2 linked regions of the Caenorhabditis elegans genome follow. The protein of the gene in region 2 purifies or fractionates together with the protein of the main gene of each other region. This does not show direct contact. Each region holds a gene or a part of one and is shown on either strand. Other genes may lie near its edges. The genes, in order: rund-1 and ddx-19.

Evidence for each region.
Region 1: the proteins of ddx-19 (region 2) and rund-1 fractionate together in Caenorhabditis elegans (co-fractionation; one large-scale study listed by BioGRID). This does not show direct contact.

What each region holds. Positions count from the first base shown.
Region 1 is NC_003284.9:654,839-664,696, forward strand, and holds rund-1 (RUN domain-containing protein), read right to left. Parts: upstream 6,940-9,858; 5' UTR 6,920-6,939; coding exon 6,814-6,919; intron 6,770-6,813; coding exon 6,703-6,769; intron 6,457-6,702; coding exon 6,312-6,456; intron 6,267-6,311; coding exon 6,039-6,266; intron 5,996-6,038; coding exon 5,759-5,995; intron 5,708-5,758; coding exon 5,577-5,707; intron 5,110-5,576; coding exon 4,986-5,109; intron 4,921-4,985; coding exon 4,609-4,920; intron 4,561-4,608; coding exon 4,436-4,560; intron 4,008-4,435; coding exon 3,940-4,007; intron 3,893-3,939; coding exon 3,786-3,892; 3' UTR 3,639-3,785; downstream 1-3,638. Other genes in the region: lpr-7 (Lipocalin domain-containing protein), read left to right, coding at 1,427-1,587, 1,748-1,816, 1,871-1,993, 2,125-2,242, 2,842-2,890, 2,933-3,018, 3,069-3,138, 3,186-3,369 and 1 more.
Region 2 is NC_003280.10:8,881,659-8,892,738, reverse strand, and holds ddx-19 (RNA helicase), read right to left. Parts: upstream 7,841-11,080; 5' UTR 7,832-7,840; coding exon 7,766-7,831; intron 7,560-7,765; coding exon 7,508-7,559; intron 7,462-7,507; coding exon 7,351-7,461; intron 7,272-7,350; coding exon 6,045-7,271; intron 5,703-6,044; coding exon 5,645-5,702; intron 5,596-5,644; coding exon 5,537-5,595; intron 5,486-5,536; coding exon 5,379-5,485; intron 5,334-5,378; coding exon 5,047-5,333; intron 4,894-5,046; coding exon 4,617-4,893; intron 4,567-4,616; coding exon 4,442-4,566; intron 4,393-4,441; coding exon 4,282-4,392; intron 4,119-4,281; coding exon 4,040-4,118; intron 3,987-4,039; coding exon 3,542-3,986; intron 3,498-3,541; coding exon 3,433-3,497; 3' UTR 3,039-3,432; downstream 1-3,038. Other genes in the region: T07D4.5 (P53 and DNA damage-regulated protein 1), read left to right, coding at 8,410-8,601, 8,647-8,781, 8,827-8,928; rha-1 (ATP-dependent RNA helicase A), read left to right, coding at 9,080-9,250, 9,294-9,724, 9,782-9,828, 9,880-10,016, 10,069-10,329, 10,378-10,866, 10,913-11,080.

The sequences.
Region 1 (9,858 bases), on a different chromosome or scaffold from region 2:
TGAAAACAAGGATAGTGAGGAAATTGTATAACTTACAATTGTTTGTTGATATTTAGTTGACAAATAACGTGAAAACTGTTGGGCAAGGGAGTTATTCCGCCCCAAACTTCTCAATATTCAAAAGTGTATTCCGTAAGTTGGGATTGCATGTAATTGTATTCAGCTAATCCTCTTTTGAGTGCTACATTGATTCTCACACGTTAAGTTCACAACTTTCCCGAATTGAAGAGATAATATTATATAACCGGAAGTTTGAGGTTTTTGAAACTATTGAGAAAGTGTCACAGGAAAGAGACATGCCAAAAAATTTATCAATCCAGTTCAGCGAATTTTCTAACGTTCACAAAACTGATGAGTAGGATCAAGGGGGTCGATTCATTCAAAAAAGGCTCGGTTCAGGAATGCGTGCTGGCACAAGGCAATGCTAGTCCAAGCAGGCATGCAGACATTTTCTCCTAACTTTGTGATATACAAAGACAATTAATGTCCCGTTGTTGTAAGTAGAAGACATACCAATGAAACAAAATCATATAAAAAAATAGTATAAATATTCCGAATTTTATATGATTTTTTGAAAAATGGTATTAAAATTTTGCTATTTTTTTAGAAGTCGTGGAAAAATTGTTTGTTTCCAAATTTTATGTTTTATTTAAGTTTCAAAAAGTAACATTCGAAAATTATTAGAGTTCGAGTGCTACAGTTCTCACAAGAAGTGGCCTAAACTTAGTAATTGTCACTTTTTGACTTTTGACAATCACAGTTATTGAAAAAAATTTGTATTATAATATTTGGTTATTTTGGCACCGTTGGATGTTCTTAACAGTTTCTTAACTAAAGTTACTTCGCACTTGATCAATTTTGAAAAATGTATAATTATTTTGCTCGCTTTGTTTTTACGTAACACAATAGCACACCCACAATAAATGAACACTGCTCGACTGTAAACTTACAGTTAAATTGTTCAATCCGGTGAATTTTGGTCAATCTCTACCCCTGGTCAACCCTGGTTAATGATTCAAATTTAATTCCCCGGAATTTTTTTGACGCCCTACTGGAAGCTGGGAAATGTACGGACGTACACTTTCATCATAAACATTTTTTTCAGGAAACGATAAATTCACTCGAGCTCCTTTAAACACTAAATCAAAAAACCCGTTTGAAATCAAAATTCAAATTTTTATCTGAAATTTTATTTTTTCTCATAAAATTCAATTCTGAAAATCTTTTCCTTTCCATTAAACCGAAACTAGCCGCAATATAAGCAATAATCAATTAAAATTATAAAGAAAAAATCCGGATTTTTTCTGACAGTGCCAGTGATTTCTCTTTTTCTCACTGTCATCTTTCTCCCTATCCGACATTCCTTTTTCCACGGAGGAGACGATATCCGCCGCCTGACACTATTTCGGTGGTGGTCGTCATAATAATGCGGCATAATAATGGTCTATATCACGCAACGTTCTACTTCTTTACTATTATTATTTTTTTTTCGTTCTCACCTGTAAACTGTCAGTTTTTGGAAATATTTGGTTTGTCTACTGGAGATGCGGGAACTCATGATAGGGGTCCGTTTCAGGATCTGGCTACGTAAGTTGGTTGACAAAAGTATTTATGCATCGTGACTGCTTTTTTAGTCGGTTCTACAGATTTATCACAATTTTTGCAAAAAGATTCCTCAAATCATTAAAAGCTTATATTTACAGAATTTCAGTTAGAGCAGCTATAATTTGAAAAAAAATGTTTTCAGTCAATCGGTCGGTCTCATGAAATACCTGCAAACAGTGCAGAAGAATCCAGACAACACTCTAGCCAAAAAGTAATGCTGTCTTAGTTTTTAATAGAGTGTATTTAAATTTTTTAAATATTCCAGATTGAAAAACCCATTACCTTCTATGAATTTGGTAGATGGAATGCCTGTTGTGCCAGGTCTTTTGGGAAGTTTACCAGGAGCCGGATCGTGTTTGCCACGTGGATCACCGCTTATTAAGGACAAGTAAGCTTTTTTATGACCAAAATTCGTGGGAATGAATGTATTTGAGAAGTATTTGTAGTCTGTTTCAAATCAACCTTACAAAAGTTAGAAAAAACCAAAAGAGTATGAATCATCATTCATTTTTCTTCAAGGTCACCAAGCTTCTTCCAAAATATCTTGCGCAACATACCGGGCGCTCAGGATTATCTGGCCAGTTTATTGCCCGCGCCAAAAGTCGACGTCAGGGCTTTGTATGGCAAGTTCCAGTGGGTGAGTGTGTGTGATAAGAGATCACCATAATGATCAGAAAACAAAAGTAGTGTTAAGCTCTGTCATACATTATTTGTATTATGTAATGACTTTTTGAAACTAAAGAAAAAATTTTTAACAACGGAATGACACAGAACATGAATTTTTCTTTCAATACGATTGTCAAATTTCAGCTCAAAAAAGGGAAAAAGTGACAAAGTGATTTTTTAACAACTAAAAAAATATACATCTTTTTGACGAGCAAAGTATGTATATGGTGGAGGGTTACTTCCAGACGAGTCCCATTTAAAACTTGTGATTTCACTAATCTATCACAAAAATTGAAACATCCACTGAATTTTCAAACTTTAATTTTTTCAATTTGTATTTTTTTCACAATTTTCTAGTACTGCAGAAGTGCTCCAAAAGTTACTTTCTATGAGACAAACATAATAAAAATTTCTGAGTATTTTTTTTGTTTTATTTAAAAAACGTGACAAATTGACTTCCACCTTTAACTTCGAAACATTAGTTTAAAATATATCAGTTACAATGTTTCATTAGAACAAAAAATTCGAGTTATAGAATTTCAATGCGAAACGAATACAATACCTTTCCAGGCTCTGGACACTCCATCTGTTCATAATCGGTATTGCGCTACAACTGAGTGTAAGTGTAATTTATCAACCCCCAACAAGAAATGTATTTCAGTCATGCCCCAAGCAGAATCGGGAAATTCGTCAGCTTTCAGTTTGCAGGAAAAGTTCAGAGCAGGAAGTGTAGATGCGGGGGAGAAAGTGAGTATTAATTACTAATTATTTTGAAGAATATTATTTTGAAAGTTTAGGTTGCATTTGGATACGGAATAATTCATCACGAGAGAACATATGTCTATATGCAGGATGATCCGTGTCCATGTAAACTTTTTTGCTAATTTTCACATATCACAAAAAACTAATTTCAGATCAAATTGTAGTAGTTGGCCCAATAAATAAGCAACACAACCAGTATGAATACCTAATTCTCTCAAATTGGGCTCGTTTCCCAATGATTGGTTTAGTTCGAGATTTGAGAAAGTTCTATAAAGAGTACAAGGATCAAGTGGAGACCGATTTGGAAAAAGCCGGATTCATGGATGATGTCACAGGGTAGGTTGGGCTTTTGGGCCCGCAAGATGTCCTTACATTAATGAACGGAAAACGTTTTTTAGTATCCGACAACCGTTGGGAATTCATATCGAATTTGACTTTTCATAAAAAATTATTTTTCAGAAGCAACCCTATTCATTACGCCGACTGGTCACAGTGCAAAAAAGCAACTCCATACAATTATCTTACAAATGTTCTCACTGATCTTTTTGGGTAAATTATCAATCATACTTCAACACTTTCATTTAAGTACTAACGTAATTTATTTTCCATTTTATTGTTTTTATTGAATAAAACAATTTTCAAAAAAAAAGTGGCAATTAATTTATTTTATCCCGAACCTGTTTTAAACTGTCTTGATTGTTCAGTTCCAGTCATTTTAATATGCTTATTACAAATTTTTTGATATTATAGTACTAAAATGCGTCTTTGATTTGTTCGAATGGCCTCAAAGCCAAGTCAACCGGTAAGTGAATACTATATTTGTGAAGACCTTCGAGAAGTGTGTAGAGTTCCTCACAGCCTGAAAATAACGAGTTGAAAATGGAAAAAAGAGAAGATGGTACCCACCTGTTCTTGCAACATAACTCCAAGAGTTGTAGCACATTTCGACAACTTGTCGGGTTCGAAATATGATCCTGCAAACAAATTTAATTAGTTTGGACATTTGAAATAAGGGCAATTGACGGGTATTAATATATGTAGCAGCTCAAGGATTTGATATAAAATAATTGGTTTTTTGTTTGAGATCACCCTAAATAAATGAACTCGTACGAGATTATTAGCAATAATACTAACAAGTTAATTAATGTCTTGCAAAGTTCTAATAGGTAAAACATCAAAATTCTTATGGAATTTCAAGCGGATAAAGTCCTTGTCAAGATGAATATTTATTTCAGACGTGTTTCTACATTTTCTGAGGTTTTCAGTCTAGGAGGAACGGCATGATCTAAAATTGCACTGTATTTTGGAGTGCGTCTTATTTTTTGTGTACACAAAGTGGTAAACGTATGATCTAAATATTCAAAAGTTGCGCGGTTTTTTTACGAAAAAAAGACTTCCGTACCTCAACCAAGCAGGTAATTTTTTCTCATTCAAAGCAGCTGAGACAAATGCTTTCCAATGCGCATCTTTTGATCTTTTTAATCTTGCGTGAGTCGAGATGATGTTTTCAATTGTTGTCAGCAAAACCTAAAAAATTAATTCGCTTGTTCGCGTCCTTAAAAAAACAGATTCTACCTGTTTTGAAGTTATGCTTCTTCCTCCGACGTGATCCAATTTAAAGGATTGACTCAATTTTCTTACAGGAGCATCTGTGGTGTCTCTTCCAGTTTTTAAATTATAAAAGTATAAAATCACATCCCAAATATGACTCAATGACGTTGATTTCTCGTCCGCCGAGCTTTTTGCGACAAAACAGCCTAACCCCGGTATCCGCTTGTGCACCACTGTTTCTGAGAGCATCCCATGCTCTAGAAGGGCTTTCAATGCAAGACACAGCTGCTTTCGGACAATAGTTACCACTTCCTCTTCAGATCGTTCAAAGACCTCCTGAAATGTGATATTGCGAAATGAAATATCTCCTCATGTGAGAATTTGTGAATTTTGTGCCCTACGTCATTTTCTACTTGAACTTCTTCTAATTGGCCTTTTGTTGCCGAGTCGAATGTCAGTAGGGTGTATTTTTCCAGCACTTGTTGTGTGGCGTCTACTGCTAGTTGCACATGCGCCCGTTCGTCTCTGCAAAAAGTTTGAATGAAAGATGCTCGCATAATGGAAGTGAATGTGGGAAATTGAACAATAAAATCGTGTTTTTTTTGGCAAAAATATTTTGATAAACCGAACATTAAAATTATATTTGGGAAGTTACATTTTTTGGTCAGTGGTTAGTGCAAAATTTAATTTTGTCAGTGCTAGAACCAATTGAAGATTGTTCGTTTCATAATCAAAACTTGAAAAAGTGAAAATTAAAATTTTTTATAATCAGACAAATATCCGAAACCCAAAGTTCTTGTAGTATGTCAAAAACACACATCATTAAAGTTTGGCTCAATAAATGTGTGCAAATACGTGATCTGTATCTTGTGGTTTGAGCAAACACGTATAGTGGTGTTTTTTGCTCACATGTTTGTATCAAACTTTTAATAAATATTTTTATCGATTTAAAAAGCGTAAATATTTTTCGATCACAAACTTGAGAAACTAACCCATAATGATTTCCTTTCAAAGTATTTTTCAGCTGATTTTTCTGAAACCTTCCTGTTGAGCACCCGATGATTCCACTTAAAAATGATCCGTTTTTAGATTTGGCACCAGACAGCGGCGTTGATCCCATGCTCTGAAAGAAAAAATTGACTAGAAAATTAGTGAAAAACAACAATGATCATACCCGAACCGGTGTAGTTTGATTCGAATTTTCAGCATTCTCTTTCTGAAGAAAGTTGACAAAACGTTCCAAATCTGTGATCTGAGTCTGAAGTTGGTCTACTAGTTGTCCCTTTTCTTTGAACGGATTGACAAGTTGCTTCAGAGCATCATCTACTTGCCGTTGTATTTCTGTTTGGTTCATTTTATCTATGTCTAGATTTAACTCGATTTTTTCGCGGAGTTTATCCAGAACGGCTTTCTACAAATTAAAATTCAGCATAAACTCTTACTTTTATACAAACCTGTTTCTTCAAAATGTCAGTACTTGGAAGCTCGCCTTCTCCATTTTCATAGGCAGTCCTTTCCAAGTCTTCTACTTGCTCGCGGAGCTGTTTTAGCAATTCTTTTTGTCGTTCATTTTGCTTGTCTAGTACATCATTTCCACTTTCACTTTCACTTCGTAGCCTTTGCAGCTCGTTCATGTCTGTGCAACCCTTGAAAGCAAATTTTTGAAGATCAGAGAGCAACTTCTGGAAAAGACATATGAGATGAGGCAACTGAGCCTAATAGCTTACTAATCTATCGCTTGGGTCCGCTTCATTCATTTGCTTTATCCGGAACTGCACCTGCGCAAAATGGGAGCTCAGGGAAAATAACGAGTTATTGAGTCGTTCCTGCTCTTCTTCCAATTGTTGTACCCGTAATGCATCGTTTAAGCTTCTAAAAATTGAGTTCTGAGTTTATCAGTTAAAGGTAGTGCAGTCAAATTTTTTTTTATTGCTTTACCGAATTTCATAATAAAAATTTTTGAAAACTTCTCGAAAAAAGTTATGGAAAAAGTCAAAAAATGATTTTGATGAAATAAAGCATTAAAAATAATTGGACTACATCAATTTAATGAGATATTCAGGATTAAAATTTTTGAACCTACTGTTGCATTGACCACAATTTACACAAAAAGCTTACCCAATATCATCACTATGACTAGAAGACAACCGAGCACTTTTCCATTCAGTTTCAGACATTGTGTCATCTGAAAACAATTATTTCAGAAAACAAAAATCACTTTTAACTCACAAAAATCCAATCCATCCACAATTTCTTTTGAATCTTCGGACGCTCGCTTTTTTAAGGATTGACCCAACTCTACTAGCAAGTCGCTGGCTTCCAACTCGTTCATCATTTTGGCAAAATTTCTGGCACCTGAAACAATACGTTGAAAAAAAATTAATAAAAAAAATAATTATATATTATTACGAATGAATAACACGTACATTTTCAAAATTTTGTTTGAAGTGATGATTATTTTGAGATTGTTAATTGAAAGCTGAACAAATTCCATTTATTGAAACAAAATGAAAATGAAAAATGGGAGTGGACAAATAAATTACATCACGAAACATTAAAAACAATATATACTTTACTTTTTTTTCATTTTCCAATTTCCGTTTTTCTGCTAAAAGGGTTTTCAGAGAAGAGAAAAACTGAAAAAGAAAAAGATGACGTATGCTTTTAAAAAGGATTGCCGGACAAAAAAGGGGAAAAAGAAGGAGAAAAATAACGGAGCACGCAAGAGAGCAGAGAAATGAGGCAACAAACTGCGTCTCGTGTTCTTCATGCACTCTCACGTCGTCGCTCTTGGTTATCGACCGCCATGGGTAACGTGGAGAAAGACGGAAGAAGCATGGAGAAGGGACGCTTTTAGTCTTGGAAATGACGAACGAAATCCTTGTGGGCGGACATAATTATGAGAGCTTTTTCGACATGGAGGGGTTTAATTTTCATATGGCTTTGAAAATGCTCCAGGGTTGCGCGACGACGATTTCTACAAAAACCGAAATAGCGAACTGGCGGATTTAGTTTCATGTTTTTGAAAAACTGCCGAATTTGTCATTTGTCAAATAATATATTTAATAATATCATCAAAACTAATAAAAATTATTTAATTATTTAAAAAAGCATTCACAACTAAGTTTTTGAAATTGTTTTCCGTTTTTGATGTTTTTTGTAGGAAAATGTGGCAAAAGTTGTATGGTATGTTAAATTGGGTAAGAGAGATTAAAGTAAAAATGAAAGAGGTTTTTTCTGTATCTCAAACGCTTTTTTTTTGGCTAAGAAATTCTGATTATCTCGCTCTGAATCATTGAAAACAATTGAACACATGTTGGCCAAAGTTTGCCATAATTGGTTGAGAGGTGGCTAAAGTTGGTTGAAGTTGGCTAAAGAAGACTACAAACGGCGAAAGGTGGCGAAGGTTGGTTGCAAAGCGACTGGTTGCTTAAAAGTGGTAGAAAAGTGGGCAAAGTTGGTTCAGAAGTGGTTAAACATGGTTTGAAAGTGGTGGGAAGCTAAAGTTGGTTGAGAAGTGAGGAACGTTGGTTTAAGAGTGGCGCGAATTTATTCACTTTTCGTGTTGGCTCTGAGAGAATTTAATGAATGCATTCATTTTTAAATTTTCGAAAATTAAATTTCAAAATTGAAAAACCAAAAAATGTTCAGCAATTGCCGTTTCTCCGTAAATTTCGCAAATCGACAGTTTACTGAAATTTCTGAAAATTTTAAAATTCAGCAATTGCTAAGACTTGCCACAAACATAAAGTTTCTAATTTCCTAAAAGTTCTCAAGCCTATGCATTTGTTGTTTTACTTTTAAACTCGAAGTATCTGAGACCTGCTAATATTTTAATGAGAAAAACCTGTCGAAACTTTCCAAATTTGATTTAACGCTATATAATGAAGCTGATAGTGAGATCAAAAACAAAGTTTTATGTTTCAAGAAAATTTGAAAACATTTTATTTAGTTATTTAGCAACTTAACATACACATTACTTAAAAAAGTAAATCTTTTGCTCACTTCTCAATGAATTTATATTAAAACAAATAAATTTTTTTTGTCTAACTTTGAGTTTGTCCGCATTTTCGGAAATTGCCAAACTTTAAAATGTTTGACAAATTGGTGAGTAGGGAGTTTGACAATTTTTTAATAGTCTTGGCAAATAACAAATGTCAGAAAAAAATAAATAAAATATTTTTAAATATAAGTTGTTTTATTTTTTAATATTTTTAAATACAATTTGAAATTTTTCTTTTTTCTTTTAGGAAATCTTAACATTTCGATAGTTCGAAATTTTAAAAAATATTGGGATAGTGATCATTTGACAATTTCTTGTCTTTTTGCTTGTATTTTTATTGCTATACGTGCCTGTTTTCACGACTATCAATTGTAATAAAATTGAATAAAATAAAATTAGGATTGCCTTCCGGCAATTGTCAACCGCTCCCTGTAATATCAAAACCTATACTAGTCGAGCCATCAAATAATCTAACAAATACTATTTCAAAAATAAAAATAGTCGATGAGCTAACTGTGGATGCACAAGACTGACCAGTAAAATGGGCGAAGCAAACAAATTCGAGAGAGGAGAAAGACAAAAATAAACGGTTTTTTCGTTCTTTGTTTGTATATTGTCAAGCTTCCCCGTCTCTATTTACGGAAAAGCTGGACAGTTGCGCATAGGTTTCTTGCGACACTTCCGGTATTTTGTGAGATTCATGTGAGGTTTCTTATCTTTGAATGCCGTGGATGATTGAGTTGTTAAAAATCATATTGTTTTTTTTGTTTGGAAAATAAGCAGCCGTCTTCAAAATTAAACAATGACATTTTTGTGCTTTGACGGCTAATATCTCGGTTCTTTTTAGTTTTAGAAAAGCATTTTCAACTGACAAAATGTGTGCAAAATATTTTTCTACATTTTGATAGCAAGTAATTTTTTGATAACATTCCACGACTGGATTATCGACCACACTGTATTGGCCACACCATAGCCCTCCGAATAGGACTTAGCTTAAATTTTAGCCCAGTGGAAACACCACCAGGCAGTGCGCCTGATTCCCAGATCCACAGAGCATAGCTCTTGAAAAACGAATTGTCTTTCAATTCTTAATTAATCCTTTTAATAGAAAACCACATTTTTCGAGCAGATTGCCGAATTCCGATTCTTGACTTTTTGAATGATAAACTCCCATTTTCTATCATTCAAGCAGCTTCTAACAGTTTTGCACAACTAGTAATAAAACATTAAATGGATGACAGTTTCTTCCAAACAACTGTGCAAATACATAC
Region 2 (11,080 bases):
CTATTTTACAAAGCGAAAGATGCCAAATACACGAGTTTTCAAGTTCTTGAGTGATTTTCTCAGCAAGTAATTATAGGCGGAGAAACTTGATACGAAAAATTGAGAATCTGTGAGATAGGAAAAGATTTGCGTGAAAAAACATCATCATCATGCAGATGCAGAGGGAACATCGTGAAGACGCCCGGCTGCACATTAATTCGAGCTTTTTGTGTGTTCGCATTATCAATTCACCAGATTTTCCGAGAAAAATCAGAATAACTTCAGAAAATCTTATGATAAAATAATAATATAAATGAGTGAAGAAAACTAATCGAGACATCTAAAGACGAGCTTCCTTTTTGTTTTTACACCTGTCCAGGCAGCGGACAGTCTGATGAAAAGGTCGGCGCCGGAGGAATATTTGGACACTGGCAGGCATTGGTCAAACAATGAAGGAAGTGTGAGAAACATAAGCAAGAGCGGAAGGGGAACTTCTTGAGAACTGCCACTGAACAAGAGATATGCAAATTTCTGGAGCACAAAAAGGAAACTAGGTTCGCAGAGTCACACACATCCATCATTCGTACTGGTTTCACTGTTGCCAAGTTGCCATAGTAGTTTTGATAAGATACGGAACTATATCGTGGGAACATTCGAAAAAAGCTGCTAGAAAATGAAGACATTCAGAGACAAAAACATTTTTCGAGAATTCGTAGAAGAAAAAATAACAAACAAGAGAACTAATTATAACATAATACAAATAGCAAAAAGAATAGGAGATGGAAGCTTTTGACATATTCATGACAGCTTTCCCGTTAGTTTTTCTCTCTTTTGCCACCTTTGTTGAAACCTCGGAATAACAAATTTCTCGAGTGTCGACGACAAGTGTTTCTCCATTTATCAGCTAGAGACGGAGACAGAAAAAACGAGCAAAAAAGTGGAAGTAAAGACACCTGCGCACTCGGAAAAAGAAAAGAAGGCTTACTGGTTGCGTCTAATTGAAAGCACTCGTCGACTTTTTGTTGCTTTTCACGAAATAGTGCGTGTGCGCAGGAGACAAATCCGGGGCTTTTGCAGAGAGAAAACGTGTTGAAATGATGTTATCAGCAGAAATCGATAGTGATACAGGCAAAGGCGCGCTCGACTGTGAACTTAGGAGTGAAGGGCGTTTCTCGAACGGACAACAGCTGTTTCAATAGAATACGTCGACAGAGAACTGAACGAAAACAATGAATTCCTAAATTTTAAGATGTAAAGGCGTTGCAAACACTATTCTAAAATAACAATTTACCTCAAGTTAAATGGGACAAACGAATGAAAATTTTAAAAAATTTTACAGCAAAATTGTTGAATTTCAAGTAATCATTAAAATTTTCTAGATAGAAACCAATTTCACATTTAAAAAGCAGTTTTTAAAACTTTAAAAAAGAAGGAAAATAAAAATTGCTTCGAAAGAAAAAACATGTTTTTATGTGTGGTTACGGTATGCGAATGTACGCAAACACTTTGCGGATTCTCGTGGCGGCAATTCAAATGCAACAAGGCTGAAGATTTTTTTATTCAGATTCCATCAAGAATATTGTTTACTGACTAGAGAGACCACCGGTTCGATTCGCATTACGCAACTCTGACTCGCTTCTGTCACAAACGGGCGGCGCTACTTCTCAAAGGACGAAAAAAAACTTTTGGTGACTACCGCCGACCTGACAGTTTTAATTAAAAACTGCGCCAACTTTCTGAACAAGAACTTCCGAATCTTTACAACGTAGATGGAAACTATCAAGAAACAATATATTCAGAGCCAATGAATAATGGTTGGTTGTTGGTGTTCATTGTGATATCAGAATGATAACACAATGACAAATCGCTGGTCCACTGTCTCTGCGCCTCTCTTCGCTGCTTACCTTGACACCATCCATCATTATATTACCGTAATATTTATTTATCCGGAGAGAAGGAAGAGGTGAGTGAGAAAGTGAAGGAAAAATGAGGAAAGAGATTAGGAAAACAGATAAAGTGGCGAGAAGAACCCCTCCAAACAATCATCCTGTACTGAATTATTATCAGATTGCCACAGAGGATATGATCGGAGGAATAGAGAGGATACATATGAGTTTATAACCACGATTACTGCCTCCATAATTATGCCTCTTCCGTGTTGTTGTTGTTACTACTGGTGGCGGAGGAGGAATAGTTATTGCGTTACCGAACCGAATTTATTGAAGGTGAATGATTTGGGTTTATATTGCAGCCAACTAGGTTTTCACGATCTATTGTTTAAAAGTTTATTTCTACGAGATAAATAGAATTTGATAGCGCTAGAGCCTTTTTGCGAAAGAAATAACTAAGTTTCACGGAAAAAATGGTTTTAAAATACAGAATAGTGTTAGCCTTGAAAAAGTCCAGTAGAAAATACAAAAAAAATGCAGAGAAACGTAAAAATCTGCTAAAATAAAGCAAAAAAACGAGAATTTCCTCGAAGATAAAATAAAATTGTGAGGACCTACAGTAGTACACCTTAAAGGTACACACTCGAAATTGTTCGGTCGCTGCGAGACCAGTCGCCATAAATTCGTAATGAGCCTATTTTCTAAATAGAAGAATTTCTGTATTTTTTTTAGCGATTTCGAAGAAATATTTCTATGGTTGTAACAATAGTACAGTCAAGATGTATGAGTCACATGAAAAAAACGGTGGAATTTTCGTTGCTAAAGCAAAAAAACGTAGTGGCTACTGGCACCGAATACAAAAATTAAATAAAAGGGTTCATTTTGGAAGAGTAATGAGTCAGTCTCGATGGACAACATTGTTTTATCAGTTGAAAAGGAGTGTAGATAAATCAATGGTCCCGTCCATTTTCTTCTGATAACAATTGAGTTTGCATTGTGGCCAGAAGTGACCTGTCATGAAGGAAGAAGGAAGAGAACAGGCCTCCCTCCTAACAAAGATGTGAACTTGCCATTGTTTATCTTCCATATCGACAAACAAACGGCAGCAACGAATTTGAATAATGCAGGAAACAATTAAAAGCGGGAAGACGAACAAAAAATGAATATGTAAACCCGGAACTCGGGCAAAAAAAGTTTATTTTGGAAATATTTATTCGGATTCAAATAACAAGATAAAGGCGAAAACGAAAACTCACAAACAATCAACTCTAATAGAATATCTAGAACCGTTTTTGTTTCTAAAGCCTTCTCCACACATTGTAACAAAAATGGAGAATTTTACGTACCAGAACTGAAATACAAAGGAGATGATGATGATGGTGAAGTGTTAAGTATCCGCTTGGTTAATAAAATAATGAGAATATAAAAAAAAATGGAAAAGAGTCAACAATGTCAAGGAAAGCAAAAATTCGGGGCAAACTGTATTTGATAAGTGAAAAAGTAGATTGGTATATGGGGGAGTGGGAAACACTGACCCGCAGTAAAACGTATGAAATGTTGTAGATTATGCCATTTCTATGGCTTCTAGCTCTACCAAATTCGATGGATCCATTCGAGCGATCTTCATCTCTGAAAATAATATTTTAGTCATTGCAAAAAAATGTATTACTCACGGAAATGATTTTCGAGCACATTAATCATGTTCATCGAGTCTTCTGAATCGATCAAATTAATGGCAATACCAGTCTTTCCAAATCTTCCAGTTCTTCCAATACGGTGGAGGTAAGTTTCACAATCAGGTTGAGTGAATCCATCCACCACCATCGGAGTTCCTTCATCGGTGTACTTGATCGGAAGATCGTAATTAATCACCACCGACACCTGCGCTACATCAATTCCACGAGCAAACACGTTCGTCGTGATCAGAACTTTGAAGTCGCCGCGCTTGAAATGGATGATCGTATCAGCTCTCTCGACAACAGTCATATCTCCATGTAAAACATCAACTTGATGTCCTCTTGCTCTCATGTTCTCATACAACCACATAACACTAGCCTTCGTGTGACAGAAAATGACGGATGAGGCGACAGCGAGTCCACTGTAAAGGTTGACGATAGCCTGTAAATTGCATTGGTTTATAGATAAGCATTTTTATAAAACTGAAATCTAACCGCATATTTCGAATCTCTACAGGCGCATTGAACGTAGAACTGCTTAATGTTCGGCAATGCTTGTTCTTCACGTTTCAACCTGAAAGTTTGTTTTGGTTTTGGATTTACGAGGAAGAGGACACAATGGTGCTTCAAGAGCGGACCACCCACTGAGTTGTTACAATATTAATGAAGACACGAGTAAATAAACCGTTCCAAGCTTACATTACGATTTGGAAAGGGAGTGCATCTGTGAAACTTACATTACTACAATTGCATTCTTGATGATTTTTGTTGCGAAATTGATCACTGGTTCGTCGTACGTGGCTGAGAACAACATTGATTGGACAGAATCTGAAGCATCTTCGACCATACTGAAAAAAAGACAAGTAAATTATTATGTTGGTAAACAGTATTTCATACTTATAGATTGTAGTTGAGATATCAGTGAATCCTTGATGATAAATCATCACATCAGCTTCGTCAAGTACCAAGCAACGGATCTTGCTCGGATCAATGCACTTGTACTTTTGAAGGTAGTCGCGAGTCTTAAATGAAATAGTTATTCATTAGTTATTTCATAAACTAGTCAACTCACGATCCCTGGAGTTCCAATAACAATTTGTTCAGTAAGCTTTCGTCCTCTCATTGCAGCCATATTTCCTCCTTTGATCGCGTAGTGAATTTTCAAATTATCAATGAATTTTCCCATCTTCTCAACAACTTCTCCGATCTGCTTGGCCAATTCAAGAGTCGGTGCCAAACAAATGCACTGGGGGCACATCAGATTGACATCAATCCTGCAGAGCATGGTGAGCACAAATGCAGCAGTTTTTCCGGTACCGGATTGGGCTTGAGCAATAAGGTTGGATGGTCTGAAAAATAACGATTATAATAAAACTTTGAGGATATTTTAGTTAGCATCAAAACTGTCGCTTTTTGGATAATTTATTTTTAAACTAAAATCCAAAATTGTTGGCCGACACCATTGGTTTTCCCCCGTAAAATAAATGTATGAAAGAACTTACGGCTCCATAAGAAGAAGTGGTAAAGCTGTTTCTTGAATTCTAGTTGGGAACTGGAAATTCATCGTGTCAAGAGCCTTGAGTACTTCGGGTTTTAAACGAAGTTCACGGAAGGATGAGATTGAGTACAAAGGAGATTTTGGGTCTTGTCTTTGCACGTCAACGACAACGTCTTTCATCATCTTCACCTCCTTTTGAATGAACTTATTTAGCAAAGCAATATCTGCTGGAACTGGAACTTGTTCATGAGCTTCTTCTGTTGCCGGTTTCGTGAACTTGTACTTCGAATCCTAAAATAAAAATAGATTTCGATCGCTTACAATGAAATAAATTACCGGTTTCACAAATTGTTGTGCAGCTTGGTGTCCACCGTACTGAGGTGGTGTATCTCTTGGTCGTGGAACAAAAGCTGGATTTTGTTGTCCTCTTCCACGTCCCATAGCTGAAAATAAACAATGAGACAGAAAACGTGAAATGAATATTCAATAAATACATTGTCCTTGACCGGGGGCGCCGAAATCCATTTGCCCTCCGCCTGATCCACGTCCTCCTCTACAAATAAATCATAATTATTGTTATCGAGGGGGTCTGCTATCACTACCTGTACGCTCCTTGGAATCCTCCTCTCATTGGTTGTGATTGTCCTGGCATGATTGGAACTAGAAAAATATGAATTAATTAATTTATTTAGGAAAACGGGAGAATTGGTTGTGGGGTCAAGCAATGATGTGCAAAATTAGACATGCGTGCAATAAAATCCACAAAACTAAGCATTACCTTTTTTGAAACCAAAATTGATAAATTGATAACTGTTAAAGAGAACGTGAAATTTCGTGGATTTTAATTACATCGTGTTTAGGTGAAACACAAAGGGTAGGTTAATATCAAGCAAACAAGCAAGTCTTACACCAAAAATCTGGCAAAAATATTATTATCATTTGATAACCCGGGATTTCCTGGAATTTGGTATCTATAAAATATTCTTATACCCAAAAACATACCACTCGAGTTCTTCATTTCATTTTCCTTGAACTCTGGTTTGGTAGAGCTTGAATTTCCGCCAAATGGATTCTTTTGAGCAGGTTCGGATTTTGAATTGAAATTCGCTCCATATGGTCTGACGGAGCTCGATGTTTCTTGTTCAGTATTCGGATTTCGTGTTTCTACGAAAGGCAGACGCCCAGACTCATTACCAACTGAGGTATTGACCGTTGGAGCAGTTGATCTACCGAAACCTCCACCGACGACATGCTTATTGGCAGGAAGTTCAGACGATGAAGCAGCAAAAGATGGTTTCGATCCGAAAGCACCGCCTGAGGTATTTGATGGGTTTCTTAAGATTTCTGGTGGTGATAGGCTTTCAACATCTGGAACTTTTGTGGACTTGTTTCCGAAAGATCCTCCCATCGAAGAACTTCCTGTGACGGATGTTGAAGCTCCGAAGGCACCACCAAATGACGGCTTCGATGAGAAACTAGACGGTTGGTTTCCAAAACTTCCTCCAGCTGAAGTAGAAGTTGGTTTTGCTGCAAAACAGCTTGAAGATGAAGAAAGTGCAGAAGAATTGCTAGAGATATTCTCGTTTGATGGTTTCGATCCAAAGCTAGCCACAGTTCTCGATTGGGATGCTGATGCCGAAGAGCTGTTGAAAGACCCTCCAGCCGAAGCGGAAGACTTGATTCCAAAACTTTCTTCTGAACGAATAGATGCTACAACTGTAGAGGAACCAAAACTTCCTCCGGTTGTCGCTGGTGACTTCATAGATGAACCAAATCCGCCACCAACCGATTTCATTACCGGAACTTTAGGCATATCGTTGCTGACAATATTCGGAGATTTCACTCCAAATCCTCCACCAACAGACGGAGCAACGCTCGATGATTGTGTTTTTGCACCGAATGCTCCACCTTGAGAGATTGATGCTCCAAAACGTCCTCCAGTGGATGTCTTTGGTGTAGAATCTTCAAGATTCGTAGAAGTTTGCGGAATCGATCCACTCAGCGTTCTCGGGGCTAAAACTCCAAAACGTCCTCCTTCATGGTTATTCTTAATTATTGCTGGTGGACAAGGTGCCATGCTGCGGTTAGTGCCAAAGCCTCCACCACGTTTACATGCAGGTTTTTCTTTGTGAATTCCAACAGAAATTATATTACCTCCTCCAATGAGTTCTTCTGCTGAACCAAGTGGTGCACCACGGCCATCCACCCCTGCTTGGCCTCCGAATGAACCTAAAATTGCGATAGGGAAGTTAATAGGAACAAAAGGATAAATGGACACAGTACAAGCATAACAGATATAAACACTTACCACCAACACGGGTTCCCGAAGTTGATCCGAATGAAGTTTGAGGTGGTGGAGCATTACTGGCTTTTGGTCCGCCGAACATGCCTCCTCGGCTAATTCCCCATCCATTTGATCCTGTAAAAATAACTGTTAGGAAAGAAGTTTCTCCGATGAATCTTACCTTTATTCTCTTCATTTTGATCCATTTCCGAGCCTGATTGCACCTTTTCGGTCTGAAAGAAATTAATATATTCCGTTCCGCTGAAAAAATGCACTCGGTTTCCACGCACACATACAGGGAAGAAGCATGAAAATTGTGCGAGGTAGAAGCAAAAAGCAATTGTACAGTGCAAGAGAAAAGAGCCGAAACTCTCGGAACACGGACGGACAAACAGACAAACAATCACGAACACACATAGACATTAACAAATCCGACCACCTTTTCTGGCACTTCAAGCCCTTCCGATCGACACTGCTCGTCGAATGCAATACCCCAATCAGCCATTTTCGATCTGTTATGAGAACTACGATAATTCATTGTTAGTATTCAGGACAAATTAAAGATCGGAACACGAAATTGAAAAGAAAACATGTTGAGGCGAAATTTGGGTCGACACATGAACCCGAGAAGGGAGAGATTGCAGAAAGAAGATAGTTCTTTGGTTCATCGACAGGGTAGGAAATAGTTATTCTAGAAGTGTTTTCTCTATTTTGCCATTGATAATGCATGTAAACACATTGTTTGGTCAGGGAAGTACAAAATCTATCTTCTTTTTAGGGCATTTTTCCACAAAATATATGAAATTTAACTTTAAAATGTATTTTAAACATTTGAAGTTATAAAAATGACGCACACATGAAAGATAAATAGAATAAACAAACAAAAAATTAGGATCGACGCCAATAAAAACATCTGAAATTGAGATGAGCAATTTCGAAAATGGGTACGGTTGACAGTACACCGTACACAGTAATGCACACAATGCACCAGATCATACGACAAACATATCTTAATATTTAAATTTAGGATTTTTAACTTGCAAGTATCATGATATTCTTGCTAATTGTTATTTTTTAAAGAAAATGATCACTCACCTGTCTACTGGAATGGCTTTGAACAACGCAAAAACACCGCATGACCATCAAAAAGAGTTACGCGACAAAACTTCAGAGATAATTTACCTTTCAACGAAATTAAATCACGCCAAAGAAACATGTGTGAATCTGGATAATGAACGTCAGAAGTTTCGAGAAGTTAGCCGAAAAATCAAAGAGGTTTGTCTGTAAAACAATAATGCAAACTGAATAACTTATTTTCAGAAGGATATTGATCCAGTTTGGATATACAATGGAACGTGCTTCCTTCAAACAAGCCAAGCAAATAGTTTGAATATTTTGGAGAAAGATACGAAAACTGTCGAAGAAGTTCGTGGACAGATTCAAGAAGTTATCAAGGTAAAATAAAAATATTAATTCGATAATTGAATTGTTTTTTTACAGAAAGACATGGACACATTTCTCAAACTACACAAGAAGCGAAATCTAGAAGAACGTGGTTTCGGTTTAAAGCCATTGCTCAAAGACGGAAAATTAACTGATTAAATTATGAAATATCTGAATACGGGTCAATGAATTGATATTAAAATACTTAAATTTGTATTGTTATCCTGTTCTTGTATATCCGAGTTTAATTTCTCGTCTCTTTATTTGAACTATTCGCGACTTTTTAAATCTTGTTAAATATTATTTTTAGATGTCCAGAGACGTCAAAGAATTTCTATATGCTTGGTTAGGAAAGAATAAGTATGGAAATCCGACGTACGATACAAAAAGTGAAACCAGGAGTGGTAGGCAGAGATTCAAATGCGAACTTCGGATCACAGGATTTGGCTACACTGCTTTCGGAAATTCCACAAACAAAAAGGTTCGTGCTACTTGGGAAATCAGTTTTTATCAAAAGTTTTCAGGATGCTGCTACCAATGCTGCTCAAGATTTCTGCCAATACCTAGTCAGAGAAGGAAAAATGCAACAGAGTGATATTCCGACTCTAACGTCTTCGAGTCTTGAAGCTTCTTCCACGTGGCAAGATTCTGAAACTGCTACAATGTTTTGTGGTGGAGAAGATGGCAACTCGTTCCAAGAGTCACAGCAACCAATTCCACAAAAAAGATTTCCTTGGAGTAACAATGCATATCAACGTAACGAGGGCACACATGAACAATATATTACACAGAAAGCAGAAGAAATTGCTGCATCGGAAACTGTTGATCTAAAATCAGAAATTCATGGAGGATGGACGATGGAGAATTCAAAGAAAGCGCTGAATGAGTTTCTTCAAAAAATGAGACTTCCACAGGTTAACTATGGAACCAAAATTCGAGAATCAAACACCGTTAAGTAAGTTTTTCATATTAGAAGAATTACTTCATTTTTTTCATACCAAAATATTTACAGAACAATGGAGACGACTGCCCAAATCTTTGTTCCTCAAATCAACAAAAGTGCGTTCTTTTATCGTCTTTTATCCAAATAAAAAATGAAAATGTTTACAGATCTCGTTGGAAAAGGTACTGGATCTAACAAGAAAGTTTCTGAAGCGGCGTGTGCAATGAATATCGTTCGTCAGATGTTCCATCTCAATATTATGCAATCGTACAGTGGACCAATCAAGAAGAGTAAAGTCAGCACGGTTAGTTTTTCTGAGTTTAAGTTGTTTTGAAGTTTATTATATTAATTTTCAGCTTCCTGAAATTGCGATTTCCATTCCAGAAGATCTCTCAACTCGAGTGACAGAATATGTTCGGTCGTGCGGTCTTGAGTTGCCAGAAATCAACGAAACGAGTGCAACTCCGGAAGCTCCTACCTCACTGCTCACGGATGTTAAACTAGCGCAGTTCCCTGTTTCAGAAATTTGTTCCGCTTCGAATATCTCCTGGGCACCTCCTCTTCAGAATTGGAATCCATGGAGAGCTTCGAATATCGATGAGGAACCATTAGCTTTTGTAAGTTTTTTGATTCAAGCGAATAATTTAAAATTAAATTAAATTCAGATGTCAATGGAGCAAATTAGTCAGAGAATAATGGAAAAAGAGGATTTCAAGCGAGGTGAAGCACTTGACAAAATAACAGCTCAACGTGGAGAACTCCCTGTCGCCCAGTATCGTGAAAACATTGTACAAACCGTCGCAGAAAATCGTGTTACACTGATCAAAGGAGAAACTGGATGTGGAAAGAGTACTCAAGTTGCTCAATTTCTACTGGAAAGTTTTTTGGAAAATTCTAATGGAGCATCTTTCAATGCAGTCGTCTCTCAACCTCGTCGTATTTCTGCAATTTCACTGGCCGAACGTGTCGCCAACGAGCGAGGAGAAGAAGTTGGAGAAACATGCGGATATAATGTTCGATTCGATAGTGCAACTCCTCGGCCATATGGATCTATCATGTTTTGTACTGTTGGAGTCTTGCTGCGAATGATGGAGAACGGATTACGAGGAATTTCACATGTAATCATCGATGAAATTCACGAACGGGATGTTGACGTGAGTGTTGAAACTGCACATCAAATTAAAAATCTTTTTTTTTCAGACTGACTTTGTTCTTATTGTGCTCCGCGAAATGATTAGCACATACCGAGATCTACGTGTGGTACTCATGTCTGCCACCATCGACACTGATTTGTTTACCAATTTCTTCAGCTCTATCCCAGATGTTGGCCCGACACCAGTTATCACGATGCATGGAAGAACTTTTCCT